Callithrix jacchus: one gene and its partners. The protein of the gene in region 4 purifies or fractionates together with the protein of the main gene of each other region. This does not show direct contact. Links are inferred from orthologs where the notes say so. Each region holds a gene or a part of one and is shown on either strand. Other genes may lie near its edges.

Evidence for each region.
Region 1: the proteins of DCAF6 (region 4) and CUL4A purify together in Homo sapiens (affinity purification with mass spectrometry; 8 studies listed by BioGRID and IntAct, with this or other methods). This does not show direct contact. The link is inferred for Callithrix jacchus from reciprocal best matches to the Homo sapiens genes DCAF6 and CUL4A.
Region 2: the proteins of DCAF6 (region 4) and TNNC2 purify together in Homo sapiens (affinity purification with mass spectrometry; 3 studies listed by BioGRID and IntAct, with this or other methods). This does not show direct contact. The link is inferred for Callithrix jacchus from reciprocal best matches to the Homo sapiens genes DCAF6 and TNNC2.
Region 3: the proteins of DCAF6 (region 4) and CUL4B purify together in Homo sapiens (affinity purification with mass spectrometry; 6 studies listed by BioGRID and IntAct, with this or other methods). This does not show direct contact. The link is inferred for Callithrix jacchus from reciprocal best matches to the Homo sapiens genes DCAF6 and CUL4B.

Annotation. Positions count from the first base shown.
Region 1 is NC_133502.1:28,696,654-28,703,792, forward strand, and holds part of CUL4A (cullin-4A), read left to right. Parts: intron 1-3,250; coding exon 3,251-3,443; intron 3,444-4,707; coding exon 4,708-4,812; intron 4,813-5,022; coding exon 5,023-5,133; intron 5,134-5,224; coding exon 5,225-5,310; intron 5,311-6,404; coding exon 6,405-6,512; intron 6,513-7,139. UniProt on the Homo sapiens protein: Core component of multiple cullin-RING-based E3 ubiquitin-protein ligase complexes which mediate the ubiquitination of target proteins. As a scaffold protein may contribute to catalysis through positioning of the substrate and the ubiquitin-conjugating enzyme.
Region 2 is NC_133506.1:41,064,522-41,072,275, forward strand, and holds the start of TNNC2 (troponin C, skeletal muscle), read right to left. Parts: upstream 4,130-7,754; 5' UTR 4,066-4,129; coding exon 4,063-4,065; intron 1,691-4,062; coding exon 1,639-1,690; intron 1,527-1,638; coding exon 1,383-1,526; intron 1,295-1,382; coding exon 1,180-1,294; intron 1,020-1,179; coding exon 883-1,019; intron 1-882. UniProt on the Homo sapiens protein: Troponin is the central regulatory protein of striated muscle contraction. Tn consists of three components: Tn-I which is the inhibitor of actomyosin ATPase, Tn-T which contains the binding site for tropomyosin and Tn-C.
Region 3 is NC_133524.1:116,475,066-116,482,946, reverse strand, and holds the start of CUL4B (cullin-4B), read left to right. Parts: upstream 1-3,295; 5' UTR 3,296-3,374; exon of another isoform or gene 3,375-3,960; coding exon of another isoform or gene 3,961-4,145; exon of another isoform or gene 4,146-4,184; intron 4,185-7,881. Other genes in the region: MCTS1 (malignant T-cell-amplified sequence 1), read right to left, coding at 1,196-1,293, 1,811-1,963, 3,961-4,145.
Region 4 is NC_133519.1:34,285,662-34,292,800, forward strand, and holds part of DCAF6 (DDB1- and CUL4-associated factor 6), read right to left. Parts: intron 6,152-7,139; coding exon 6,058-6,151; intron 4,739-6,057; coding exon 4,619-4,738; intron 4,076-4,618; coding exon 3,815-4,075; intron 1-3,814. UniProt on the Homo sapiens protein: Ligand-dependent coactivator of nuclear receptors. Enhance transcriptional activity of the nuclear receptors NR3C1 and AR. May function as a substrate receptor for CUL4-DDB1 E3 ubiquitin-protein ligase complex.

The DNA of each region.
Region 1 (7,139 bases), on a different chromosome or scaffold from region 4:
CAATCACCGGTGTGAATTTGTTTTTTAAGATACCACCAGCAGTGATTAATAACATCCAGGTACAAAGTATAACTTAAAGAACAGCTGTTTTGCTCCTCATCAGCATAAATATTGATTTGATTTACAGTCATGATTTTTAGGAGCGGAATCATTTTTGTAAATGTTGATCTTTCATGCCCTTTGCTCTGTGAGAACTGTTAACACTTGGCATATCAGGTTGCATTGTAGACTCTGTTTCTTAATGGTCCAGATTCAGGATTTACTACTTAAACTTGCAGGTTTCAAAAGCATTTCTTTGGCATCCCTGACAAGCCTGATCCAGCCTGTACAGAGAGTGAGTTCTTGGGCAGTACCTTGAGCTTTCCCGTGTCCTGCCTGGGAGAGCAGGTGCTGACAGAACCTCACTGAAGACTAGGGGCTCTCGGCCCAGGGCACCACCCCACCAAGGGGACACTTGTGGATGTCTGGAGACGTTTGTGTCTGTCTCAACAGAGAGGGTGCTTCTTGTTCTGCCGGGCGACACTAGGAGTACTGCTGAATGCACAGGGCAGCCCTCACCACAAAGAATTGCCTACCCAGAGTGCCACTGGTGCCCAGCCCAAGAAACCTCCTGAAGACCCTCTAATAGAGAAGTCATTTTCCAGACTCCCTTCATGGAAACGGGAGAACTGAGGCAAACAGCAGGACCCTTCACAGATAGCTCGTGTTTTTAGCATATGCCGGGGGCCTAGCATGAGTTTTCCAGCTTAAATGGTGAACATTCAGCAGGTACCTGTGTTTTTGCTTGTTGGTGACTATTCTTAGGTCCTATAATTAAAAGATAAAATTTTCAGAGAATTACGCTGAGAAAAATAAAAAGCCAATCCTAGGTACTTAACATACTATTAATATATTATTCCATAACATTTTGGAAATGTCAAAGTTCAGAAGTGGAGGACAGAGGAAAAGTTACCAGGGGGTAGGGACGGGGTGGGATGTATGGTTAGAAGAGGCCCCAGGAGGTAGCCTTCTGGGGGAATGGTTGGGATTTTGGCTGAGGTCATAGATGTGCACACCGAGATGAGTTACAAGTAAACTGGGCCATTTGAAAAAGTCTAGGGGTTAATGTGTTCGTATCCCAGTTGCTGCTCTGTAGTTTTGCAGACTGTTGCCATTAGAAGAAACTATGGAAACGAAGGTACTGGGATTGCTCTGCTATTTTTACCATAATGCAAGTCTTTCATTATCTCAATAAAGATTTCTATTAAATAAAAAAGCCAAATGAAGGCTTACATGCTGCTTTATGGAATAATCAGATCTGAAGTCATGTATCAGTCCAGCTTGGAAAGCCAGTACACACACAGCACCACTCCTGACAAGGTCTCGTAGAGTGCTATTGAACTGGAAGTTATAACTGAGTCACATTAAATCAGCCTTAAAGCTACTGAAAATTTAGGATTTTGCCAGTGAGACAGTCTTCAGGGGATAGGAATACATCTAAGTACGAGGAAAGGTTCACCTTTGCAGTTTTTAGTCTGGGTAATAAAAACCAGTGCATGGTGGCTGGCGCGGTGGCTCACACCTGTGATCCCAGCACTTTGGGAGGCTGAGGCAGGTGAATCACAAGGTCAGGAGATTGATACCATCCTGGCTAACACAGTGAAACCCATCTCTACTAAAAATACAAAAAATTAACGGAACGTGGTGGTGGGTGCCTGTAGTCCCAGAGACTTGGGAGGCTAAGGCAGGAGAAGCATTTGAACACGGGAGGCAGAGGTTGCATGGCGCCAACATCGCGCCAGTTCACTCCAGCCTAGGCAACAGAGCGAGACTCTGTCTCAAAAAAAAAAAAATCAGTAAGTGACCATCACTCCTCAGTGTCAGCAATAAGCAGCTCTGCTGTAACAAAATAGTAGTTTACATGCGACTCCACACATGCCGCCATCAAAATAAAGCTGGGCCTTATAGTGTTTGAGATGTTGAGTAAGAAGTGAGTCCCTCCACACCTGTGAGCCACATACTGCCCTCTCCAGGAGGATCTGTGCCCTTTCTGTTGGCATCCTTCCACCAGCCAGCTGTCTCACCTGTGTGTGACATGAGTGCCTCTGTGCATTCTATTGAGACAAGTTTTTTTTATATTCAGTAATTATATTCAGCTCCTCTTCAGCATGTATAGTTTATGTCATCAAATAGTTAACTGTTTATTAGCACCACACACAGACTTTTAGGAATGTTTAATACAGCATTTTTAAATTAAAAATACAAACTAGTCTGGGCGCGGTGGCTCACACCTGTAATTTCAGCACTTTGGGAGGTTGAGGTGGGTGGATCATGAGGTCAAGAGATCGAGACCATCCTGGCCAACATGGTGAAACCCTCTCTAATGAAAATACAAAAATTAGCTGGGCATGGTGGTGTGCACCTGTACTCCCAGCTACTCAGCAGACTGAGGCAGGAGAACTGCTTTAACCCAGGAGGCAGAGGTCCCAGTGAGCCGAGATCGCACCACTGCCCTCCAGCCTGGCGACAGAGGAGACTGTGTCTCAAAAAAAATACAAACTAGAAATAGCTTTTCATGGTTAGAAGTGATGGAGAAAGAAAACTGTAGCTAAGAAATCCCAGCAGATGTATTGAATTAGTAAGAATTAACTTGTCTTTGAGGAACTTATGCATAAACATTCTTTAAGAAGCAGTGGACATTCTCCCAGTCATTTGTAAGTTATCTCGAAAAAGAATTGTAAGAGCAAGGCATTATTGTATATCTAACTGTATATTGACACCAAGCACAGGGGCTCATCCCTATAAACCCAGCACTTTGAGAAACCAAGGCGGGAGGATTGCTTGAGGCCCAGAGTTTGAGACCAGCCTAGGCAATGTGGCAAGACCCTGTCTCTACAAAACTTTTAAAAAGATCAGCCAGATGTGGTGGCCTGAGCCTGTGGCACCAGCTTCTCGCAAGGCTGAGGTGGCAGGATGGCTTGAGCTTGGGAGGTCAAGGCTGCAGTGAGCCGTGATTGCACCACCCCCCCACACTCCAGCTGGGCCACAGAGTGAGGCCCTGCCCCATTTAAAAAAAAAAAAAAAAAAATCAAAAAAAATATATTCACTTAATTTTTGAAATATGAACTCAATTTGTGAAACTTTTAAAGTTACTGGGTATTTACTCTTAAGAGTAGTTTATATTGAACTATCCTGACTGTGTGATAGCAGGAGGAAATACTGTTTGGTGTTATAAGCATGTTGCTGAGTGGGTATTGATCTGCTTTTGTAGACTTTCGGGACAGCGATCGTCATCAATCCTGAGAAAGATAAAGACATGGTCCAAGACCTGCTGGACTTCAAGGACAAGGTGGACCATGTGATAGAGGTCTGCTTCCAGAAGAATGAGCGGTTCGTCAACCTTATGAAGGAGTCGTTTGAGACGTTCATCAACAAGAGACCCAACAAGCCTGCAGAACTGATTGGTAGGAAAATCTGGGTTTTTTTTTGAGACAGTCTCACCCATTTCTAGACGGTTTTTTTAATGTGGGAAAATAAGGCAAAACTCAACCAAATTTTTTTCCACAATGTTCAACCTGCTCCTGGGGTGTGTGGAAAGTGTTTTTATCAAGGTCTTATTAGGGCATACATTTTAAAAAGGGGGCACACCTGCATTCATGGGTGGAGGAGGGCATTTCCAGAAGGGAAGATGAGGTAGGAAATCTTTAGAAAAGAAATGATGCTTGACTTCACCAAAGAAGGAAGGGGTGATCCACCATCTTTGTATCCTCTGATCAGTATTAAAATAGGATATAATCAGGTGAGATCTCAAATGATAGCATATTTGAAATACTGTTTTTAAGTTGTACAGTGTTTTCACAATAATACCAAAATAATTTCAGAATTCATAGGCTTTCTGTAGTCAGTAAAAATTTTTTTAATTTGAAGGAGAAAGGGGGCAAAGAGAACTGTAATACGATGATGCTAGATTGACGTTGATTACGCTGAAGGTGCATGAAGCATGGAGCTCATTGTGCAGTTGTCTACTTTTCTGTGTGTTCAGAATATTCCATTGTAAAATGTTCAAAAGAAAAGAACTATAAAAGCAGCAACAGAAAGAATTGAGGAGGCAGTTTACCTTGGCTTTTGTGCCTCTGTTTCAGCTTTGGTTTCTCTCAAAAGGAGTGTTGAGCTTTTGGGAGTTTGGGCTTCTGGAAATCTTGAGTTCTATCACATGGGACGTAGGCCCTCCCTCCCGAGCCACCTCACAGATGGCTTGTGCAGCCTCAGAAACAGGAAGCCTGAGTAGAAATGCTTCTACCCTGCGTTGCCACCTTGGATACCCTGAGAAAGTCTTTTTCTTTGAGAATGTCTCCTCTGAGTTTATGACACCAGATCCCAGGAATGGGCACTCCTGCGTTTGGGGCAGCCATGTGTCCTGGAACCTGAGCATGTGATCACTGAACCCATTTTATTTTGAAATTCAGAGATTACATTTAGAGGTAAGACAGATAGTTCAACCTGCTTTAAACATTCAGTCCCTGGCTTTGTTAAAATTTTGGGAAGTATTTGCTCTCACATGACTTAAGAGTATTTATCTTAGAAAATTGGATATTTGCTTTTTCGTCATATAGTAATATCATTTTGGAAAGGTTCCAGAATGTTACTGTACAGTATTGCTTATAGAAATTAAAGATGCTATGTGTTTATATGTTTTTATGTAGTATTCCTATATGTTTATGCTCACAGCAAAGCATGTGGATTCAAAGTTAAGAGCAGGCAACAAAGAAGCCACAGACGAGGAGCTGGAGCGGACGTTGGACAAGATCATGATCCTGTTCAGGTTCATCCACGGTGAGATTTGGGCACTCAGAAAATGCTGCTTGATCTAGAGGTGTAAACACAGGCTCTGCTTTCTCAGAGCAGGTTCAACATGAGAATGGCGGTGTCAGTAGAGCCAGTTTGCATTAGAATGGACACTTCTAAGGGTTTTCAGCAGTTGAAGACTGACATTTGCTTATCCACGCTCTGATGCCTTGATTCTTCTCATCTGGTTATAAATAGGTAAAGATGTCTTTGAAGCATTTTATAAAAAAGATTTGGCAAAAAGACTTCTGGTTGGGAAAAGTGCCTCAGTGGACGCTGAGAAGTCTATGTTGTCAAAGCTCAAGCATGGTAAGCGTGCGGGGCCTGGGCTCCTCCCCTGCAGCTGAGGGGTGCTGCCCGCGTGCTGCCCCAGTCTCACTGCCTCCTTTGCTGTGTCCAGAGTGTGGTGCAGCCTTCACGAGCAAGCTAGAAGGCATGTTCAAGGACATGGAGCTTTCAAAGGACATCATGGTTCATTTCAAGCAGGTGAGTTGTGTTTCTTCAAGTAAAGCAGCAGATGCTTTAAAAAAGTATCTGCTGAGTGTGGTGGCTCATGCCTGTAATCCCAGCACTTTGGGAGGCTGGGGCAGGAGGCTTTCTTGAGGCCAGAAGTTCAAAACCAGCCTGATCAACATAGCAAGACCCTGTCTTTACAAAAGAAAAAAATTTTAAATGAGCAGGTAGGGTGGCACATGCTTGTAGTCCCAGCTACTAGAGTGGGGCTGAAGTGGGAAGATCACTTGAGCCCAGCGGTTTGAGGCTGCAGTGAGCCATGACTGCACCACTGCACTCCAGCCTGGGCATGAAAGTGAGACCTTGTTACAGATGTATGGATAGATAGCTAACTACGTAGATACATAGATAACATAGACACATAGATATATAGAAGACAGAGAGAGCAATACCTTGGCACAGATAGAGAATTAAGGTAGGTAGATTCAATGGATTAGATAGAATGAATGAATCTCATTCTAAACTATGTAAGAAAAAAATTGGCCAGGCGCGGTGGCTCAAGCCTGAAACCCGAGCACTTTGGGAGGCCGAGGCGGGTGGATCACGAGGTCAAGAGATCGAGACCATCCTGGTCAACATGGTGAGACCCTGTCTCTACTCAAAATACAAAAAATTAGCTGGGCATGGTGGCGCGCGCCTGTAATCCCAGCTACTCGGGAGGCTGAGGCAGGAGAATTGCCTGAACCCAAGAGGCAGAGGTTGCAGTGAACTGAGATTGTGCCATTGCACTCCAGCCTGGGTAACAAGAGCGAAACTCCGTCTCAAAAAAAGAAAAAAGAAAAAAATTACACTATTCTTGTTTCACAAGTAAATTTTAAAAGGAGAAGAAAAAGAAGCTCTAAACCTGTGGCAAGAATTTGATTTCTGTGAGTCTGGTGGTAACACCTGAAGAAGGGGAAAAGGCAGTTCCAGTGAGGCTTTGGATTTCACGGAGTATGTTCTTAAGACTGAGATAAATACTAACACAGATGAAACTTTGTTTGAAAAATTACAATTTATTTTGTTATAAGTTAATTGTTTCATGACTTTCTCAAATGATTATTTGTCTTGGATTTCTCTGTTTTTAGCATATGCAGAATCAGAGTGACTCAGGCCCTATAGACCTCACAGTGAACATACTCACGATGGGCTATTGGCCGACATACACGCCCATGGAAGTGCACTTAACCCCGGAAGTAAGTGTGCAGACAGCGTGCTGTCCGCTCCCACGGTCGTGCCCTTTCCAGGCAGATACATTGCCTTCAAGAATTGTTTAATGGGGAGTTTTTTAAAATAGCCCACTCAGTCCAAAATCAAACTGCTCTTATGGTCTTTGGAAAGCAGCATTAGAAAATGACCGCTTTTGTCACCCTCCGTGGCTTCTCCCAATGCAGCCTGTGTCCACCTGCTGACCTGCAGGGGCCCAGGAGTGCAGGCACTTGTTTGGAAGTGATGGCTGATTGAGCTGTGGTTGTCCGGTTGCTCTTTCTTTCCGTTGTAGACGTTGCTGACATCTTGGGAATGGCAGTGTTTAGCGTCTTTTTGTCAGCCACTGCTTTAGCCGCACTAAACTCTTTAGTGGAGGGTCTGCACATCGGAGGTAGAATTCTGTGCCCAGTGAAGTTAAAATCAGCAGGAGACACATTACGTGCACCATTCATTATAATACTGGGCAAAGAGAAAGGGCTGAAACCAGTCTGGGATCATCAAAGACGTCCTGGAAAAGGCATCCCTTAAGCCTGATCTCAACCAAAGGTGAATGATCATTTTCTCAGCTGAGAGGGGAAGAAAAACTTACAGCGACAGTGGTCGCATAATGTCAT
Region 2 (7,754 bases), on a different chromosome or scaffold from region 4:
TGCGGGAAAGGAGAGGGAGCGGGTCACAGGTCCCACCTGGGGATGCAAAGGTCAGGCCAGGGCTCCAGTCATTCAGAGGGGATGACTTTTTTGTTTGTTTTGAGACGGAGTCTAGCTGGAGTGTAACCCAGGCTGGAGTGGAGTGGCAAAATCTCAGCTCACTGCAACCTCCGCCTCCCAAGTTCAAGCGATTCTCCTGCCTCAGCCTCCCGAGTAGCTGAGACTACAGGTGCATGCCACCAGGCCCGGCTATTTTTTTGTATTTTAGTAGAGATGGGGTTTCACCATGTTAGCCAGGATGGTCTCAATCTCCTGACCTCATGATCCACCCACCTCTGCCTCTGAAACTGCTGGGATTACAGGCCTGAGCCACTGCACCCGGCCTTGTTTTTTGTTTTTGTTGAGACAGGGTCTCACTCTGTTGCCAAGGTCTGTCACCAAGGCCTGTCGCCCAGCCTAGAGTGCAGTGGCACAATCACTGCAGCCTGGACCTCCTGGGCTCAAGTGATCCTCTCACCTCAGCCCCTGGAGCAACTGGGATCACAGGAGACCCCTGGCTTTTTATTTTATTTTTGTAAAGACAGGGTCTCACTATGTTGCCCAGGCTTGTCTCAAACTCCTGTCCTCAAGTAATCCTCCCGGCTCGTCCTCCCAACGCGCTAGGATTTTACAGGCCTGAGCCATCGCGCCCTGCTGCCTGGTCGTTAACTGATAAACTGCACGGAGTCGTGGAGCACTTCTATACCAACACTTAGGAGGAACTTGGTGAGGTGACGCCCAGCCCCGCCCACAAGGCCAGCGACAGCGCACGGGAGCCAGTGGCACCAGTACCCGCTGCCCCTGTGGCTCCCACCCTCTCTCCCAAGCTGCCGCGGCCCTCACCATCGAAGTCAATGCGGCCATCGTTGTTCTTGTCCCCGTCTTTCATCAGAGATTCGATCTCTTCGTCCGTCACATGCTCTCCAGAGGCCCTGAAAATCTCAGCCAGCTCCTCCGCGTCGATGTAGCCGTCTGCGTTCCTTCGAGTCCGAGGGATAGGGGAGGGCTCAGGACCGGGGCGAGTTGCCCTGGTTACGCTCGACACCCCGTCCCCACACCCCCAACCCGGGAACCTTCCGGCGCCACCGGTCGGGCTCTGACTGCTCGGCCCCTCCCTTGGCTCCCAGGCCTCCAGCACACCTGTCGAAGATGCGGAAGCACTCGGCCAGCTCCTCCTCACTCTTCCCCTTTGCATCCTCTTTCATCTGGCGCACCATCATGACCAAGAACTCCTCGAAGTCAATGGTGCCGCTGCCTGCGGGGAGCAGGTGGTGGACTGAGCCTGAGCCCGGCCGCCGCTGCCTCTCCCCACCATCCCCTGCCTCCGAGGGCCAGCCGCTCACCGTCCTCATCCACCTCCTCGATGATGGCGTCCAGCTCCTCCTTGGTGGGTGTCTGGCCCAGCATCCTCATCACGGTGCCCAACTCCTTGACGCTGATGTCCCCACCACCATCAGCATCAAACATGTCAAAGGCAGCCTTGAACTCTGCGAGGGAGAGCAGAGGGCAGAGGTGAGGATCGCTGGACTGTCAGCCTCACACCTACCCCCCAACCCTGCCGGGAGGCCAACTGCTTCCCAGCCTGCCGGCCTCACTCACCAGCGATCATCTCCTCGCTGAGGTAGGACCGGGCCTCAGCCTGCTGGTCAGTCTGCAGGAGACACAGAGAAAAAGTCAGCTGAAGAGGTAACCCTAGAGCAGCACCTCACCTCTACCCCATTCACCCCAACCCCCACTCTGCCAGCGCCCCTTGGTCCTCCAGAAGAACAACTTCAAACTCGTCACATATTTGTGTGCCCCCACAGCACCCAATCAGTTTTGTTTTATTCAGAAGACAAGGTCTCGCTCTGTCACACAGGTTGGATATGTAGTATGATCACAACTCACTGCAGCTTTGACCTCCTGGTCTCAAGTGATCCTCCTGCCTCAGCCTCCTAAGTATCTGGGACTAGTGTACACCATGCCTGGCTAATTTTTTAAATTTTTGGTAGAGATGGGGTCTGACTATATTGCCCAGACTGGCTTAGAACTCCTGGGCTCAAGTGATCCTCCCGCCTCAGCCTCTCAAAGTGCTGGGATTACAGGCTTGAGCCACTGTGTCCAGCTGCTGACCCCCGTTTTTTGTTTTTGTTTGCTTGAGACAGAGTCTCACCCTGTCACCCAGGCTGGAGTGCAATGGCAGGATCTCGGCTCACTGAAACCTCTACCTGCCAGGGTCAAGCAATTCTCCTGCCTCAGCCTCCTAAGTAGCTGGGATTACAGGTGTGTGCCATCATGCCCAGCTGATTTTTGTATTTTTAGTAGAGGCGGGGTTTCACCATGTTGGTCAGGATGGTCTCGAACTCCTGACCTCAGGTGATTTGCTCACCTCAGCTTCCCAAAGTGCTGAGAGCCACCGTGCTCAGCCTGGCACTAGTTTTGAGAAAAAGAGAGGAGACAGCAAATTAAGCCCAAGGCCTTCTCACTTGTCAATTGAAGGCCAAGTCAGGAATCCCCCCAGTGACCTTAGGCAAGTCACTTAGTGTGCCTTCATCTCTTCTCTGTAGCTTTTCAGGGATGAGATATCAGGGGTGTGAAAGGGCTTTGTAAAAGGCTAGCACCATTCCAGCAGTATTTTCCAGTTTTCTCTAGCTCCTAATGGTGCTCAGTACTTTAATAGTTGCTCAATAAAATGTTTGTTCTCAGATAAATAATAATGCAACACAAGCCGCGCACAATGGCTCACCCTGTAATCCCAGCACTTTGGGAGGCTGAGGCAGGTGGATCAGGAGGTCAGGAGTTTGAGACCAGCCTGGCCAACATAGTGAAACCCCGTCTCTACTAAAATTACACAGAATTAGCCGAACGTGGTGGCGGGCACCTGTAATCCCAACTACTCAGGAGGCTGAGGCTGGAGAATCACTTGAACCTGGGAGTCAGAGGTTGCAATGAGCTGAGAGCACGCCATTGCACTCCAGCCCTGTCGATAGTGTGAGACTTCAACTCAAAAAAAAAAAAAAAAAGGACACAAAGTTATTGAGCACTTGCTGCATGTCAGGCCACAGATCAGGCACTGGGACCACCAAGAAGAGACCGAGGATACATCCTCCTGCCCCTCAGAGAACTGGCGGAGTCGCAGATCAGCTTCCTTCTTAGGATTCAGTCATTGGAGAAAAGGCCTCTCATATTGGGCAGAATGTGAGGGGGGCCTTGACATGAAAGTGAGATTTCTGTGGGGGCTTCCAGGTCATATCCAAGCCAGACCATCTGGGTCGGAGGCTTTGGGCTGAAGCTGGCAGTAAGGATGGGGTGAGGCTTCCAAGGAGCTCTTCAGCCGGCTGGCCGCTGGCCCTCCTCCTTCTCCCCCTCCTTACTCTCTTCTTCTTTCCCTGTGCCAGGAGGGCAGGCTATTTTTAGTCAGGCATGGGCAACAGCAGCTGGCCTCTGGGATCTAGTTACTCCTTGAGGTGAAGTGAGGAGGGGATTCTCAGACGAAAACCACAGCACCAACTCAGAACCCCCTCTAGGAGAGCAGGGTTTCTCTAATTCTGGTCTGTCATCTTCTGTCTCTTCCCATCGTCCTCAGGGGTCCCGGAGCCCCTGTATCTGAGTGGGCCCCACGCCCTGCAGGCCTCTCATCTTCTGGAGGAGCCTTTCTTCTCTCCATGATGGTAGGAGGGTTTGGCCAGGAGTCTGGCTCACCCCTGCCACTGGCTTGCTGGGTAACTCACTCTGACCCCTCAGGGTCCCCACTATGTGAAAGAAACATAGCTAAGAGCTCTTCACAGGTCTATGAATGACAGTGCTGGAAGTTTCCAAAGGTGCATAGGCAGTCAGCAAGCCTTGACCATCAATCTCTGGAACACCCCAGCCCTCCCCTTCCAAGAAAAGTCAAAGGCCTTCCTCCAAGACACCTGGGTTCCAGGAACCTCCATGCTCCAACCTCACACATCCAAGTTACTGCCCCACAGAGCACCCATGCCTGGCCTCAAAGATGTCCAGAGTGTTCCCGTGAGTGAAGCCGCAATCCCTTCTTGTCCTTACCATGGTTGCTGGTGACCGGGTCTCCTCTGCTGCAGGTCACCTCCTTTGCACTCCACCACCCAAAGATGCCCTGGCCTGCTCTAGCCCCTGGGATTTGTAGGGGCACCCTCCCCTCCCACCTCCCTGCTCCCCAGCACTGGATGCCCTACCCAATCAGATCCTGGTGTCAGTGAGCCCCACCCCACCAAAGGTCTGAACCCATTACCTAATTTAGCCAAGGGCCCTTGCAGAGAAATTTAAGCCTCCGAGCAGGTGGCAGGCCTTGACGTCCCAGATTCTTGTGAGGAAGGCCCGCCCTGTTCCACCGCCTTGGAGTCCCCCTGCTCTCCCCCTCTCACCAGGGAAGCACACTGGCTCCAAGATGGTAAGGACAATCAGAGTAGTAAAGAGTGAGGCAGCACAGTAAAATGAGGAGAGTACAAGCCTTGAAGTCCAAAACCCAACATTCAAGGCCGGCCTCTGTGAGCTGTGTGACCTTGGGCAGGTCGAAATGCCTCTCTGAGTCATTTCCTCGTCTGTAGGATGGACCTCTCTGTGCAGTCTCCCTCACAGAGAAACCACGGTAAATGGGAACCCAGGTATAAGTCACCTAGCTTAGGCCAGGTATACAGGGTTAGTGCTTGGCAAGAGGAATGTCCTGTCTTTGAACCATGGTGAGGGGTAGGGGATAGAAGGAGGAGAAAGTGACAGCTAGGCCACTGTTTACTGAACCTCCATGACGTGCCATACACTGTGCTAAGTATTTTAACATGATCTCATCTAGTGCTCCTCCTATGAGATAGCAACTATTATTATCCCCATTTGACTGCAGAGCTTTATAAATCATAAAGGTCTATACTTGCTCTGTCACCAAGGCTAGTGTGCAATAGTGCTGTTACAGCTCACTGCAGCCTCAGTCTCCTGGGCTCAAGTGATCCTCCCACCTCAGCCTCCCGAGTAGCTGTGACTAGAGGTGCACTACCATCCCTGGTTTTTTGTTGTTGTCTGTTTTGTTTTATTTTTGTATTTTTTGTAGAGATGAGGTTTCACCATGTTGACCATGCTGGTCTCGAACTCCTGGGCTGAAGGGATCCTTCCACTTTGGCCTCCCAAACTGCTAGAATTATAGTCATGAGACACCATGCCCACCCATGTTGATGATTCTTCTTTTTCTTCTTTTTTTTTTTTTTTTTGAGACGGAGTTTTGCTGTTGTTACCCAGACTGGAGTGCAATGGCACAATCTTGGCTCATCACAACCTCCTCCTTCTGGGTTCAAGCAATTCTCCTGCCTCAGCCTCCCAAGTAGCTGGGACTACAGGCGTGCACCACCATGCCCAGCTAATTTTTGTATTTTAAGTAGAGACGGGGTTTCACCTTGTTGACCAGGATGGTCTCGATCTCTTGACCTCATAATCCACCCACCTCGGCCTCCCAAAGTGCTGGGATTATAGGCGTGAGCCACCGCGCCTGGCCCTCTTCGTATTATTTTTTGAGATGGAGTCTCGTTCTGTCGCGAGGCTGGAGTACAGTGGTGCGATCTCGGCTCACTGCAACCTCCACCTCCTGGGTTCAAGCAATTCCCCTGCCTCAGCCTCCCAAATAGCTGGGACTACAGGTGCATGCCACCACGCCCAGCTAATTTTTTTGTATTTTAGTAGAAACGGGGTTTCACCATGTTGGCCAGGATGGTCTCCATCTCCTGACCTCTTGATCTGACCACCTTGGCTTCCCAAAGTGCTGGGATTATAGGCGTGAACCACCACGCCTAGCCCAAATGATTCTTATTATGAATTCCGACTGGAGGAAAGTTGGGACACTGTCCTTTGGGTACCTGTGCAGATAGAAAAGTGTATGGAGGGGAGGGATGGAGGAGAGGAGGATGTGCATTTGGAGGAGAAATGATCATTGAAAGCAAACACCCTTCTTTCAAAGTTACCTTCTCCAGGGAAAGGTGGTTTGGATTCACTTTTAGGGGTGGCGAGTTGGCAGGGGAAGGTTCTTTAAGTGGTAAAAGGGCAGCTGGCCCCTTCCTAGAGCTCAGTGAAGAAATCTGGTCATCTAGGGAGTAAAGGGGTGGGCAGATCAAGTCCAGAGGGATCCCACCCTCAGAATCCACGAGGTGCATACTAGGCACTGGGGAGTAAGGCAAGGCTTGTGGACAGTAGCTACGTCGACAGAAAGAGCACCAAGACAACCGATAGCAGGCTCCAGGGCCAGGAAAGCGGGGCTGGACACCAAGGAAGACAGATGGACAGTGGCAACTGGGCTTCCCCTATATATAGACATTCCCAAGGAAAGTTCAGCAGGGCCATGCCAAGCTAGATAAGGCCTCCCCAGGCAGGCAGGGAGCCAAAGGGTGAGACCCATGGGATTCCAATTCCAATTTGGTTATTTTTGCTTTTTGGGTTTTGTTTTTGAAATAGAGTCTCACTCTGTCACCCAGGCTGGAGTGCAGTGGCACAATCTTGGCTCACTGCAACCTCCACCTCCTGGGTTCAAGTGATTCTCATACCTCAGCCTTTTGAGTAGCCGGGATTACAGACACATACCACCACACCTGGCTAATTTTTTTTTGAGATGAAGTCTTGCTCTTGTTGCCCACGCTGGAATGCAATGGTGCAATCTGAGCTCACCACATCTGCCTCCCAGGTTCAAGTGATTCTCCTGCCTCAGCCTCCCGAGTAGCTGGGATTATAGGCATGTACCACCACGCCCAGCTAATTTTGTATTTCATGTAGAAACAGTGTTTCTCCATGTTGGTCAGGCTGGTCTCAAACTCCTAACCTCGGGTGATCCACCCGCCTTTGCCTCCCAAAGTGCTGGGATTATAGGCATGAGCCACTGTGCCCAGCCAATTTTTGCATTTTTCATAGAGACAAGCCTTCATCATGTTGGCCAGGCTGGTCTCGAACTCCTGACCTCACTCAAGTGATCCTCCAGCCTCCCAAATTCCTGAATGTGGCCAAGCAAGGTCCCACTGGCCCTTCTAATCTCCCTGCTCCTCCCCTCCACATTGTGTTGCTGTCTGTTCTGGTCAGACTTTAAAATACTACTCTAAACACCACCTTTTACGAACCTTCAGGCCTTTGCATATGCTGGTCTTTTCTGCCAGAAACTCCCATATTCCCTCCCTTCATCTGTCTACTTCCCTATCATCTTTCTCAGCTCTAGCGTCACTTCCTAGGAGATCCTTCCTCCCCTATGTCCAGGCTGGGGAGTCCAAGGTGGTCTCCAGTAGTTTCCTCAATCAGAGCACTGAGCATGCCTTATGATCACCACCCATTCTATGTTTCATAGACCATCATATTTTCCAGTACTCAGCACTTGCCACATAGCAGGTGTTCAACAGATATTATATTCTACATAAGAATAACTGGGCCAGGCATGGTGTCTCACACCTGTAATCCAAGCACTTTGGGAGGCCAAGGCAGGCACATCACCTGAGGTCAGGAGTTGGAGACCAACCTGATCAACATGGAGAAACCCTGTCTCTACCAAAAATACACAATTAGCTGGACGTGGTGGCACATGCTTATAATCCCAGCTACTCGGGAGGCTGAAGCAGGAGAATCACTTGAACCTGGGAAGCAGAGGTTGCAGCGAGCTGAGATCGCACCATTGCACTCCAGCCTGGGCAACAAGAGTGAAACTCCGTCTCAGAAAAAAAAAGAAAAGAGGAAAGAATAAAAGAATAACTGAACTGGATGGTATT
Region 3 (7,881 bases), on a different chromosome or scaffold from region 4:
GTAGAATACAGTGAACTCTAATATAAACCAGGGACTTGCATTAATAATAATGTATCAGTACTGGTTCATCAATTGTTACAAATGCATCATTCCAACACAAGATGTTATTCATAGGGGAAACTGAACTGGGGAGAAAGAACTCTGTTGTTTCTGCTTTCTTTTTCTGTAAACCTAAAACTGCTCTAAAAAATAAAGCCTATTAACTAAAAAAAAAAAAACTACAAGGGGATGAAGAGAAGTTGGTTAAGGGGTACAAAAATACCAGTAAATAAGTTCTAGTATTCGAGAGTACAGTTAAGGAAAATATAGTTAACAATGATTTCCTGTATATTTCAAAATAGCTAGAAGAATTGTAGTCCTCTCAACAAAAAGATAAACATTTGAGATGACAGATATCCTAATTTACCTGATTTGACCATTACACGCTGTATAAAGGTATCAAAATATCATATGTACCCCTAAAATATGTACAACAACTATAAATATATACAGGTGGGAGGGGGGTTGGATACAGGCACCACAACATCAGACAATGTAGAGTTATTATGTATTAATTTTTACAAACTATGTAACAGCCCAATTTTTAAAATTATATGCATTTACACATATCACAGAAAGTAACTAACTGGATGGAAGGACATTTAGCCAATGCTTTCCCATATATAGACTTTTCTCTATTGGGCAAATAGATATAAATATAAAAGACGAAAATGCTCACAATGTTTATCACAGTTTGTAAATACATGTTTGTATAATTACCTAATTGTTGTTTATTCTCCAAACTAGACTATTAGTTTCATTAGGACAGAGACAATGTCTTTGCTTCCCATTGTATTCTCAGCACCTAGTGAGTGCCTAGCACACAATAAGTTCAATAAATATATGTTGAATGAATGAATGAATGAATGCTCTTTCTTGGGCTTTCTGGAATGCATGAGCATTTTTCAGATTTACCACAAGATGGGCATTCATTTTAGTTTTACATCCCTTATTACCTAGTACTAATAAATAATGAGTTAACTATCAGAAGCCACTTTAAACTCTTTTTGTGTCTTTCAGTATCCCCAAATGCATATTTCTGTTTTTTCCCTGCAGTGGGGTCTCATCTGATTAAATGCATATTTCTTACAAGACTTTACATTTGAATTATGCAGTAAGAGTAAATAGTTCAAAAAATAAAAATAAAGAAACTTACATTTGTGAAGTAACCTTAGGGTTGGATAAAAAGGCCCTTCTCTTTGTCTAAAAAATAGTAATTCTCCATTTACAGTAAGGATTTCTATATGTTCATGGCTGTAAGACAAATGTCACAAAGAACCAAGTTAGATATTTTTCAAAAATTCACAACATAAAAATGCATATATAGTGATAAAGTAAACTTTAAAAGAAGTCAGTAAAAATCCTGGCCAAAAAATATTGTTTACATTGTTTTTCCTATCATACAAGTACAGTAGAGAAGAAAAATATGACCTGCTACAACCAATTTTATTTCACATTTTATTATTTTAATTCCATTGTTAGATAATTCAATAAAACAATTCTCTAAAGAACAAACTGAAATAAATTAAATCCAACTCTGAATTAAAACATTTAACTCTTTAATAAAACAATACACAAAGCCACATTTTTTTCAGGGACATAGAAAATCTATGAAAATACAAATATTGGAGTTTTGGAGTTATTCTGTGTCTATCCCCATTATCAATCTATCAATAGTTAATCTGAAAATAATTCCATTTAGTATGAGTGCAATCTAATCATTGAACATTCAGCTACTCCAAGCTTTACACAGACAAAAACAAAGACTTACCATCGGACTATTTTGACAGGATCTTTCTTAGGCATGATCTGATTAAGCCATGGTTCAATACCTGGAAATTGCTCTATCAACTGATTCTTAATACCCTTAATAACTGAGGTTTTCAACTGGATGCAGTTGGACACATTTTCTTTTTCATCAAATCTGCCAAGTAATTTTTGCAAGAAAAGAAAAAGGGATTTCTAAGTAGAGGTATCATAATACCTAAAGGTATTGTTCTGATTAGTATTCCCAAGCAAGTATTTAGATACTTAAAATAATTATGAAATAAGTTGTTTTTTTAAAAAAAAATACCACCTCCCTTTTACTCTGTCCAGCACAAAACTAATGTCTTAATACAATATTGAAATTAACTGTCAAGTATACAGCAATTAGCTGGGGTTGGGGAGAGGAATATAAGACACACTTTGCACCATAATCTCTAATTAGCTACACAAATGCCTTTCCTGGAAAATCTTATTCAATTCTACCCAGGAAAAACACGGGCTCCCACCAATAATAAAACCTGTGATCAAAAAACAAAACCCTCAATTGATACAAAAGACCAACCCAAGCATAACATAGAAAATCGGCCCCTGCTAGGCTATGCAGTCTGCTGAGACTTTTTTTAAAGTGATGATTTATAAGATCCCTATTTATTTTTGCTCAAAATTTCATGCAAAAAACCCACCTTCCTTTGCCCATGTTCCCCCTTTGCTTTTTGCGTCTACCAAACCTGGAAGGCAAACCCACTAGTAGGTTCCCAAGGAATTTTTGTCTTCCTTACACTGAATAGCTTATGGGGCAATCACGTTATTTTCAAGGCAAGGTTAATCTGGCAGCTAGGCAATAGGCATGACAGGCCGCTTGCTTCCTGTCACCCAGACTCCTTCACTCCCATGACCCAGGAAGTCAAGCCTTCCTTTATTCAGTTCATAACTAATAAACATATGGCAGTGAGCGCAGGGCTCCCCTCTCAGCTAAAGAGGATATGCCCCTAAATCACAGTGCACGGATGTGATTGGTAGAACCCTAGGAATGGAGACGGAATCGGGGGAGGGGGCAAAAGAGAAAGAGGGATAAGGAGAAAAAACAATGGGAGTGAAGGGAACGAAACCCGATTGAGGACTACGGATGGAAAGCTTAAAGAAGTGTTCAAGTTGCGAGTTAGAGCATAGTACTATAGAAAACCTTAGGGAGTCAGGATGGCAGGGGCGGGGGAGAGAGAAAGCGGATCTTAGCTCTCGCCCTCTTCCCCACCCCCACCCCACCGCCTTTGTGAGCAGCCGATGGAGGCCACAGCATGTCCTTACTTCTTGAACATGATCCAACGTGAAGGGGGCGACGATAGGGAAGGGCCCGGAATGGGAACGAAATTGAATTTGCAAGGGTCCGGCAGATCCCTTTACACGAGGAAGGCCGGCACTGACAGTCGGAGGTGTAGTCGTTATCCGGAAAACGAGAGCCAGCCGCGCTTTACGGCTCTCAGTCAAATCTGACTACTTCCGCTCCTCTGGCCTCCACGTAGGCGCTTTTGCCGGCTCCTTTTAAGCAACCGGTTCCTCTGCAGTTGGAGGTAGCTGAAAGGGCGGGACTTGAGAGGGAAGAAGTGATAGAACAATTGCAGGAAAAGAAGAATGGAGGGGGCGGGGAAATCAATCAAAGTAGCATTTAAGGCACTTGCGTCTGTTACGGGTTCCTCAAAGGGTCAAGTTTCTTCCGTGCTTCGTTGCTACCTACCGTCACACTAAAAGATTCTTTTTTTAGGGAGAATGGCTTTTGTTCCGTCTGAGGCAACTGAATGGATTGGTGCTTACCTACCAGCATGAATCCAGACAAACCTCATAGCTTCATGTTAAAGTGCTGGTAGGATTGCCAGGTTTGACAAATGAAAATATAGGATGCCTACTTAATTTGAATTTCAGGTAAACAATGAATACTTGTTTTAGTGTAAGTATACCTCAACAATATTTTGGACATACTTACACTAAAAATATACAGTCCTCGTTTAGCTGAATTTAATTGCGCGTCCTGTTTTTTATCTGGTAACCCTTATTCACTGGCAACCATACGATGCCCCCATAGTTTTTTGTGGGTTTTTATTGAGACAGGGCCTCACTCTGCTGCCCAGGCTTGAATGCAGTGGTGCTGTCTTGGCTTACTGCAGTCTTGACTTCCTGGGCTCAAGGGATCCTTCCACTTCAGCCTCCCAAATACCGTGGACTACAGGCACACGCCACCATGCCCGTTTTTTGTTTTTTATTTTTATTTTTTGGTAGAGACAGGGTCTACGTTGACCAGGCTGGTTGCAAACTCCTGGGCTCAAGCAATCCTCCTGACTTGGCATCCCAAAGTGCTGGGGTTACAGGCGTCAATGACTGCCCTCCTGTAGAATAATTCCCAAAGAATTATTACAGAAGGTAATCTGATTAAAGAGATAAATAACTAAAGATACATGTTTTACTTATGTAATTTTTTAAAAAGAAAGCTGATAGAGAATATTTTGCCAGTCAAGGATTTTACTTTGTTTTTGGTTTTAGACACAGCATCTTACTACTCGACCCAACCTGGAGTGCAGTGGCATGATCATGTTTCATTGTAGCCACAACTTCCCAGTCTCAAGTGACCCTCCAGCCTCGGCCTCCCGAGTACAGGCATGCACCACCACAGGGCTGGTGGGAAGAACCCCTTATAAAACTACCCGATCTCGTAAGCACTCACTCACTATCATAAGAACAGCATACGGAAAACCACTTCCACCATCCAATCACCTCCCACCAAGTCTCTCCCCAGATATGTGGGGATTATGGGGATTACAATTCAAGATGAGATTTGGGTGGGAAAAAAATCCAAACCATAAAAGTCACCCTATTGCCCTATTGCACTGTCAAATAGAAGATCTCTTTTTTTTTTGAGACAGAGTTTCACTCTTGTTACCCAGGCTGGAGTGCAATGGCGCGATCTCGGCTCACAGAAACCTATGCCTCCTGGGTTCAGGCAATTCTGCCTCGGCCTCCTGAGTAGCTGGGATTACAGGCACGCGCCACCACGCCCGGCTAATTTTTTGTATTTTTAGTAGAGACGGGGTTTCACCATGTTGACCAGGATGGTCTCGATCTCTTGACCTAGTGATCCACCCTCCTCGGCCTCCCAAAGTGCTGGGATTACAGGCTTGAGCCACTGCGCCCAGCCCTAGAAGATCTTACTCATTCTATTTTTTTGTACCCATTACCCAACCCCACTTCTACTACCCAATCCCCCACTATCCTTCCCAGCATCTGGTAACCTTCTATTCTCTGTGTCCATGAGTTCAATTGTTCTGATATTTATATCCCACAAATAAGTAAGGACATGTGATGTTACTCTTTCAGGGCCTGCGTTATTTCACTTAACATAGTGATCTCCAGTTCCATCCATATTATTGCAAATGACAGGATCTCATTTTTTTTTTTTTTTGGCCAAATAGTACTCCATTGTGTATATGTACCACAGTTTCTTTATTCAAACATCTGTTGATGGATACTTAGGTTACTTCCAAATCTTAGCTGTTGTAAACGCTGCTGCAAGAAACGTAGGTGTGCAGATATCTCTCTGATAAACTCATTTCCTTTCTTTTGGGTATATACCCAGCAGTAGGATTGCTGGATCATATGGTAGCTCAATTTTAGTTTTCTGAGGAACCTCGAAACTGTGCTCCATAGTGGTTATACTAATTTACTTTCTCACCAACAGTGTACAAGTATTCCCTTTTGTCCACATCCTCACCAACATTTGTTATTGCCTGTCTTTTGGATATAAGTCATTTTAACTGGGGTGAGATGATATCTTGTAGTTTTAATTTGAATTTCTCTGATGATCAGTGATGCTAAGTACCTTTTCATATGCCTATTTGCCATTCGTGTCTTCTTTTGAGAAATGTCTATTCAAATATTTTGTCAATTTCTTGATCATATTATTATATTTTTGCCTATAGAGTTGTTTGAACTCCTTATGTATATATTCTGATTATTATTCCCTGGTCAGAGGGGTAGTTTGCAAATATTTTCTCCCATTCCGTGGGTTGTCTCTTCCCTTCGGTGATTGTATCCTTTGCTGTGCAGAAGCTTTTTAACTTTATGCAATCAAGTTTGCCCATGTTTGCTTTGGTTGTCTGTACTTGTTGGATATTGCTCAAGAAGTCATTGCCCAGACCAATGTCATGGAAGTTTTCCTCAATGTTTTCTTGCAGTAGTTTCACAGTTTGAGGTCTTCGATTTAAATCTTTAATCCATTTTATTTATTTATTTATTCTTTTTCTTTTTTCTTTTTAAAGATGGGATTTCACCATGTTGGTCAGGCTGGTCTCGAATTTCTGACCTCTAGTGATCCGCCCACCTTGGCCTCCCAAAGTGCTGAGATTACAGGTGTGAGCCACCACGCCTGGCCCTAATCCATTTTAAATTGACTTTTTTATACATCAAGAGATAGGGGTTTGGTTTCATTCTTTTGCATATGGATATGAAGTTTTCCCAGCACCATTTATTGAAGATACTATATTTCCCCACTATGTGTTCTTGGCAACTTTGTCAAAAAATGAGTTTGCTATAGGTGTGTGAATTTATTTCTGGGTTCTCTATTCTCTTCCATTGGTCTGTGTCTGTTTTTATGCCAGTACCGTGTTGTTTTCATTACTATAACTATGGAGTATAATCTGAAGTCGGGTAATGTGATTCCTCAAGTTTTGTTCTTTTGGCTTAGGATTAACTCTGGCTATTCTGGGTCTTTCGTGGTTACATATAAATTTTAGGATGGCCTTTTCTGTTTCTGTGAAGAATGTCATTGGTATTTTAATAGAGATTGCATTGAATCTGCTAATTGCTTTGGGTAGTATGGACATTTTAACAATATTGATTCTTCTGCTGGGCGTGGTGGCTCATGCCTGTAATCCCAGCATTTCGGGAGGCCAAGGCAGGTGGATCACGAGGTCAGGAGTTCGAGACCAGCCTGACCAACATGGTGAAACCCCTTCTCTACTAAATATACAAAAATTAGCAGGGCCTGGTGGTGCACACCTGTAATCCTAGCTACTCAAGAGGCTGAGGCAGGTGAATCACTTGAATCCAGGAGGCGGAGGTTGCAGTGAGCTCAGATTGTGCCACTGCACTCCAGCCTGGGTAACAGAAAGTCTGTCTCAAAAAAAAAAAAAGTTAAAAAAATAAAAATAAAAAAACAGTATTAGGCCAGGCGTGGTGGCCCATGCCTGTAATCCCAGCACTTTGGGAGGCTGAGGTGAGTGGATCACCTGAGGTCGGGAGTTTGAGACCAGACTGACCAACATGGTGAAACCCTGTCTTTAAAAAAAACATTTTTTTAAAATATTGATTCTTCCAATCCATGAACATGGAATCTTTTTCCATTTTTTTGGTGTCCTCTTCAATTTCTTCAGTGTATTTTACTTTTCTTTTCTTTTTTTTTTTTTTTTGAGATGGAATCTCACTTTGTCACCAAGGCTGGAGTGCAGTGGCATGATCTCAGCTCACTGCCACCTCCGTCTTCCAGGTTCAAGCAATTCTCCTGCCTCAGCTTCCTGAGTAGCTAAGATTACTTACAGGTGTGTGCCACCACACCTGGCTAATTTCTTTGTATTTTTAGTAGAGATGGGGTTTTACCACGTTGGCCAGGCTGGTCTCAAACTCCTGACCTTGTGATCTGCCTGCCTCAGACTCCCAAGGTGCTGGGATTACAGGTATGAGCCACTGCGCCTGGCCAGTGTATTTTACTTTTCATTATAGAGACATTTCACTTCTTTTGGTTAATTCCTAGGTATTTAATTTTATATGTAGCTCTTGTAAATGGGATTATTTTTTAAATTTCTTTTTCAGATTGTTCACCGTTGGTATATAGAAATGCCACTAATTTTTGTATGTTAATTTTGTATCCTACAATTCTAATAACTTTATCAGGTCTAATAGTTTTCTCTTCGAGTCTAGTTTATTCTAAATATAAGATCATATCATCAGCAAACGATGGTAATTTAACTGTTTCCTTTCCAAATTGGATGCCCTTTGTATCTTTCTCTTGTCTGATTGCTCTAGCCAGGACTT
Region 4 (7,139 bases):
ATCTGATTTAACATTTTAAAATACTCATTCTGGCTCCTGCATGGAGAATACATTATAATGGAACAACAATAGGTCCAGGGAGATCAATTAGGAGACAAGAAATGATGGTGAGATGAAAAGAAGTAGGACATAGTTTAGATACAGGAGCAAAAGGGCTTGTTGATGAACTGGCATGGGACTTGAGGGAAAAGAAGGAATCAAGAATAACTCACAAGTTATTAAAATAAACAAATGGACCAAGAGGGAACCAATTAGGGAACAGGAAGGGTGGGAGGCTGCATTAAGTTTTAGTTTGAATATGTAAATTTAAGATGTACAACAATAAGCCAGGTGTAGTGGTTCACACCTGTAATCCCAGCATTTTGGGAGGCCACAGTGGGTGAACTGCTTGAGGTTAGGAGTTCAAGACCAGCCTGACCAACATGGTGAGACCTCATCTTTACTAAACATACAAAAATTAGCTATGTGTGGTGGCAGGCACCTGTAATCCCAGCTACTTGGGAGGCTGAGGCAGGAGAATCGCTTGAAGCCAGGAGGCAGAAGCTGCAGTGACCTGAGATTGCACCACTGCACTCCAGCTTGGGCATAAAGACCTAGATTCTATATAAAAAAAAAAAAAAGTACAACAATAACAAAAAAATAGTATCAAAACAGCAGTCAGACACAAGAGGCTGGAACTTGGGGTAGATCAGATTGTTGATATATATTTGTGAGTCATCAATTTACAGGAGATATTAAATGCTGTAGGGAACTGACACAATCACCCAGAGAAAGAGTGTATATAGAGAAGAGAAGAGAGCCAGAACTAAGGGGTTCAATTATAATATTCAGAAGGACATAGAACAAGAAACATGAACAACAGTTACTGAAAACCCACCAAAATAAGAGTCAATAGGCAAATATGATAACCTAGATGCCAAGAAAAGAAAGTGTTTCAAGAAAGGAGTGACAGCTTATGTTAAAAGCAACCAGGCTGAAAAATCTAGTAAGGTACTAACAGAGAAATATCCTCTAAACTGGTAAATGTCACTGGTGACTTTTTGATTAAAAGTATTAGAGGAAAAGGGAGTTGAAAAGCAGATTGGGCTTGGTTAATAAATAAATGAAGGATGGCAAGAAAATGGAGATAGCATATATGAACAACTCTTCTGAGGACTCATTATGAAAGCAGTAGAGAAATAAGGCAATAGCTGAAGGAGAATGTGAGATAATTAAGAGAAAATTTTTAAAGTAAGAAGATAATAAAAGCATGTTAAGGCCAAAAGAAACAACTCAGGGGAAAAAAAAAAAAAAGGTAATGGTAATGCACAAGCAGGGGCAAAGACATTGAGAAGCTGGAAAGGGATGGCAACTACATTGGCTAGCTTTTAATAGGAGCAGACACATCCCTAAATGTGCTTCTGCTTCTATCACAATGTGAGTACAGATGTTGGAACTCTGGGAAATTATTGATAGCAGGAAAATAAGTGCTTTTCTTTTCACTATGAATGAAAGGTTAGAAGCTGGAAGTGGGGAAGGAATAAAGGGGAGTGTTAAGTTTGAGAGACATGAAGGCATAAAATAATCATTTTGTACAGCTGGAGAACATCAGTGTTGAAAAGGACTGCTCTGATGCAGTGTTGAGCACCCATTGAAATTTGTGGTCATAATTTTCTTCTCTATCCTTCAGGGATTCCACTGTAGACTAAGAGAAGGCAGACAAGTAGGTTCAACCAGAGATGGAGCCTAGCAAATTTTCATATTCCCATTGTCCCTTTCTTTGATACCAGTAAGAATGACGGAGGACATGTAAAAGAAAGGCATAAATATTTAAATAAAAAGGTATCCGCAGCAAGGCAAGTATAGACAGAAGCATACTTTATCATTTGTCTCTATGCAGTGAAATAATAGAAATCATGGTCATAAGCTGACATTCCCATATACTCTATTCACCCAATGGACAATTCCCAATATTCACAAACACATTTGTACTTCGGCTATGGCAAGTGCAAAAGAGATTGGAGAAAAAACAAAAACAAAAACATTTCAGCTTACTGCTGAAATGCTGAACTCCAAAATAATGAAAAAGCTCTTATCAGAACAATTACAGACATAACCTTTAGATGTTAAGTCTAACATCAAATCATTTTTCTCAGTAGTGATAACTACCTTGGTAACATGGAAACATTCTAATTATCTATACCTTACTCTACCAAAATTCTCTCAATAATCTCCTAGTTAAAAATATTTCCTTACTTTCTATAAATAATTTATGAGTAAAAGTACTGAGTAATGTTTCAACAGTCATCACATGATCACCAAAAATACTTTTTCTCTTCAATAATTCAAATGACTTGTCACATTTAATACTTACATTAATTACTGAAAGAAATTTAGCAATTTGAAATACAGTATTAAAATGCATTAAATAGCTTTAAAAAATAAAGTTCCAAATAGTTTACTCATAAACATGTTTAAGAAACAACTAGAATTGTTAAGATTCAGTCGAACCTGAATGTAAGCTAGAGTCTTGCTAAGTTTTCCTAAAAACTTATAATTGATCAAAATGTTCAACAATATTTCCAAAAATGCTATCACTTTAAAAATTCTTGCTTTTCCCAATTTTACCTGTTCTGAAAAACAAACTTTTAACTACTTCTGCCCTAAATTCCCAAATCTTCCAAAATATTTTATTTTCTCATAAATTAAAATGCTATGTCAACAGTGTGAAAACCTCGATTCTGTAACTCAGCTTTAGCTTATTATGATGGATAAAATGTACACAGTGTTAACAGTTATATAACTGACTCTGGCTTTTATTCCCATAGAAACTGAAAATGAATTACTAAAAGCGGTATATACTGATAAAAGAGTGCTTAAATTAAAACATCCCATATTTGGTAATCTGGCATCAGTTGCCAGAGATGTAAGAATAAAGTGACAGCTTGGCAGCTAAGCTGTTAGAAATTTTTTTATGGGTTTCAGCTTAGGCCTGCCAGCTATATTTCTAGCTGCTAATAATTCTGGCTCTATATTGAGTAAAATTCTTCCTTAGAAAAACCAAAGAAAACTATAAATAAATATCTTATTGGTTTTTATAATTACATGTATATAAAGTACTGAGTAAACTGTAGATTCATTTGTCAAAAATTACTATTATAAATACTAATACATTCCATAGTTAGGGGGGAAAAGTTGACCATGAGGACTTAAAATACTGAGAAGAAAATAGTATTTTAACAGAATGCAGAGGTTTTTTCCACTAGCATCAAGTACCAAGAAGATATGCATTTGGTAAAATAATTCTTTTTCAGGTAAATACTGGAGAAATAATTCTTTTGGTAAATTATATGTTGTTGACAAAAGACCATTATCAAATCAACCATAGAGTGTATACTAAAGGTACTGCATTATTTGAGGGAAAAGAATCAAGAATATAAGCAAAATGAAACTAATATTGATATTTTCACAATCACTTTAATAGAGACATAAAACCAAATACATCTAGAAAGATATTTTGGTCTATAGGGATCTATAAAATCATATTTAAGTCAGGTGCATTAAACTATGCCAAAACACTATCTTTTGGTACCTGCACTTTTAAAAGAATTGTTTTATATAAATTGAAGATTCCTGCTATTTGTTAAAATTCATGCAAGTAAGACACACTTAATTTTTGTGTTTAAGTTACATATCCATACACTACACGTCATTTTGATCATTTATTCCAACAAGAAGTTGATGTGATTTAGTATCTTTCAAAACAGCCAGTAAAGTTTTCACTATCAAAAATCATTAGATGAACCACAGCATACTTAGAGAGGAATATCCTCACCAGACTGATGATGTGTGTGGTGTCCAGATGCCTCAGCAGACTGCCTTTGTTCACTATCTGGAGAAGATAGCAAAGAAGTAGAATGAGGGCTTTCTGTGGGAGATGATGTCGAATGAGCCTGAGCTGACACTGTAGAGGATGTAGAAGGTTGAAGAAATTGTTCAGCTGGAGTATCTACTTCCATTGCCGTTTCACTCACTTCCAAATCAGGACTTGATGGGACCGTAGGAAGAGTTGAAATATCTGATTGACTTGTTCCACCTTCAAAATACATGTTAATACAAATTCACATTTTAAATATTTTCTAAAACCAACAACTCTAAACAGACGTGTTCAGAAAACACATTTCTATTTGCACACACAAACATATATATAATTTCAGTAATAATAACCACTGGTGATTTGGCTCATTTGACAAAATAGGCCAATCAAAAGGGGTAAAAATTTATCTACAACATATTCTTGCTAAAACAATCAATCTTTCCAATTACATAAAACTTATTTATACACAGAATTTTATCATATTTCCATTCTCGGAGCACATTAAAAAAAGGCTTAAAATGGGCAATCTCAGATTCTTTTACTTTTGAGAAAAGCAAAAGATACACACTAGGTCTAGTGGCAAGAGGAGGAACAAATTATATCCAATACCTTTTATTCTCTACTACTTCAAACAATACAGTAAGAATCTTGTGATTACTACAGATGTAAAACACGGTGTAATTTAGATGATATAAGTAAAACTGGCTTCAGTAAGTAGTTTTTGCCAGCTTTCTGATGACTTTAATTAATATGAAGACTTACCTCTGGGTCGAGATCTTCCTCGTCCTCTATTGCTTTGTGCAACCTCACTTGCTTCTTCGAACCATCTTGATAACATATCAGACATTCTCTGCATCAATGACACATTGGGACTCTGCTCTCCTATTACAATATAGGTCTTATCAGTGAATTTAATAATAAGTCAGAATCTTTCATTAATATAAAAACCTAGATTTGAAGGGCTTTAAAATGAAAGCATTTTTTTAAAAAATCAAATTTCCTAAATAAATTGTATGAATGTATATAAATCTATTAGCGCTTTCATCACATGTTACAGTAATTGTTTATATGAGTGACACTCCATCTGTATGGTAAAGTTCCTTGAGAACAGGGCTCATCTCCCCTTCATCTTTGTCTATTCTTAGGTACCTCTAAACCTCCCACCTCCTACCTCAACCTATATTTTTAGTTTTAAGAGTGCCCAGCCAAGAAGGGCTCATGAATTCTAAGTTTAATAGATTAAAAGAAAGATTTTCCCTCTCTCTAAGGCATTATAATCAAGTACAGAAACAAAATAGCCTTATATTTTTGCATGAAGTTTCCTTAAACTCGTTTTCATCATCATTTACTATAAGCAAATTCTAGATATTTAAAATTAGCTGGAACCAGAAAGTATTTCGTCTTCTCCTTCACTCATTTTCCTCTTTCAAATAAACAAGTTTTTCTAAGGGCATTTTCAAATACAATGCCAAATTTAAAATGTGACAACTCTATTCTACAGTCTTATAATTTAAAATGAAAATCATTCTGACATTTTCTGTAAAATCAGAGTTTCTTTTACACTTTACTGCCTTTATATAATGTAGCTCATATACTGGGGAATATGCTTTTGATCATAAAAGACATTTCAGAAGTCATTATAGTAAGATTTTGGTTACAGACCAATTTAATAAAATATAATTCTATAGAATTATAATTCATAGATTAATTCTATTTTCAAGTGTGCTACCTTAAAGGTCCCAGGGTAGTTTCTTATGCTTATCAAAGGCACTTGAACATTTTATGTGCTATTATAAAACTCTCAGGTGGAGTTTTCATTTCTCTTGATATCTAATAGAAAGGCAAAAATTGAGAAGTCTGACAACACCCAATGTACTATGGGGCAATGGGCATTGTTATACTTTCAGTGGGAATGTAAATTAGCACCTCTTTTTTGGAGAGTAATTTGATAACTATCAAAATTAAAAGGTACTTATCCAGTGACTCAGCCATTCCACTTCTAAGAATTTATCCTAAGATATATTTACATAAGTATACTAACATATATGTATAAGAATGTTCATTACAGCATCACTTAAAATAGTGAAGTCAAAATATTAATTTTATTAATATTATTTATCAGTTTTAATATTAAAACCAGAAGTTAAAATATTAATTTTAAAATACCACATACAAAGAAAAGCTGACCAAAGTACAGTTACCATCTCGTTCTCGTTCGCTCTCAGGCCTTGCTCTGGGTCCAGTATCTGACCAATCACCACGAAGTCTCAAACGCTTAACTGGTGGTTGTCGTAACTAAAAGAAAAGAACAGGCAAATTCTATGTAAGTCTAAAACTCATCTATTCTCAACTCTTAATGTCTATTTATTTCTATCTCACTACTTTCTTGAGTATGCAAATTAGATCTAGATGAAAATATAAAAGGCACTGGTATAAGCCACATCAGTCTTTTGAAGCACTCGTTCTGAGGATATATATCCACTGATGTTGACAGCCTCTATCTAATATCTTCAATCCAAAGAGTCTCAATGCAACTTTGAAATCATGTGTATGTAATTTCTAATCTCACCTGTATCACCTTCCAACTGACAAAAGGAAGATATTTTTAACCATCTTGAGCCTTAGTTTTCTATTGTGATGATAAATATAGCCTAGGTAAATTACCCACATACCTAACAAACAATGGGAGTCATCATTATTTTTACTTATTATTGAGAATTTACTCTTCAGTTCCCAAACACAATCCATTCCAACCCTTTATGACTTGCCTCAAGTTATCTATTCCTTTATGCTGCTCTCATTCTTGCCCTCTAACAATTTTTCATCCTACTTCAGAGAAAATGAAAATGACATCATTTTTTTAGCTGAATTCTATAAACTAAATCTACATCTAGAACTTCTAACTCCTTCCAACCTTTCTTGAAGGATGTATTATTTATTCTATTTAAGCCTAATTTCTCCATCTGTGCTTTTTTCTTTTCATTCCTTCAACTCCTCGAGTATCTTGTTTGGCCAATTATTCTGTCTTTTCTACATCCATATCCATTTCTCTCTCCTGGTTCTCTGTCCCAACATGCTAAAGGTTCTTATCACTTTTAAGAAACAAAACAATATTTCAACTTCATAAAACCCATTTTTCCAGCTACAATCCTTTCTCTTGCTATCACTTTACTCAAGCTTCTTGAGAAAATTCTATATGCAATCTAACACTCCTCCTTCAATCCACTGTAGTCCATCTTTCCACTGATTTCCCATCTTTCCACTAACTTCATTCCCATCAGTC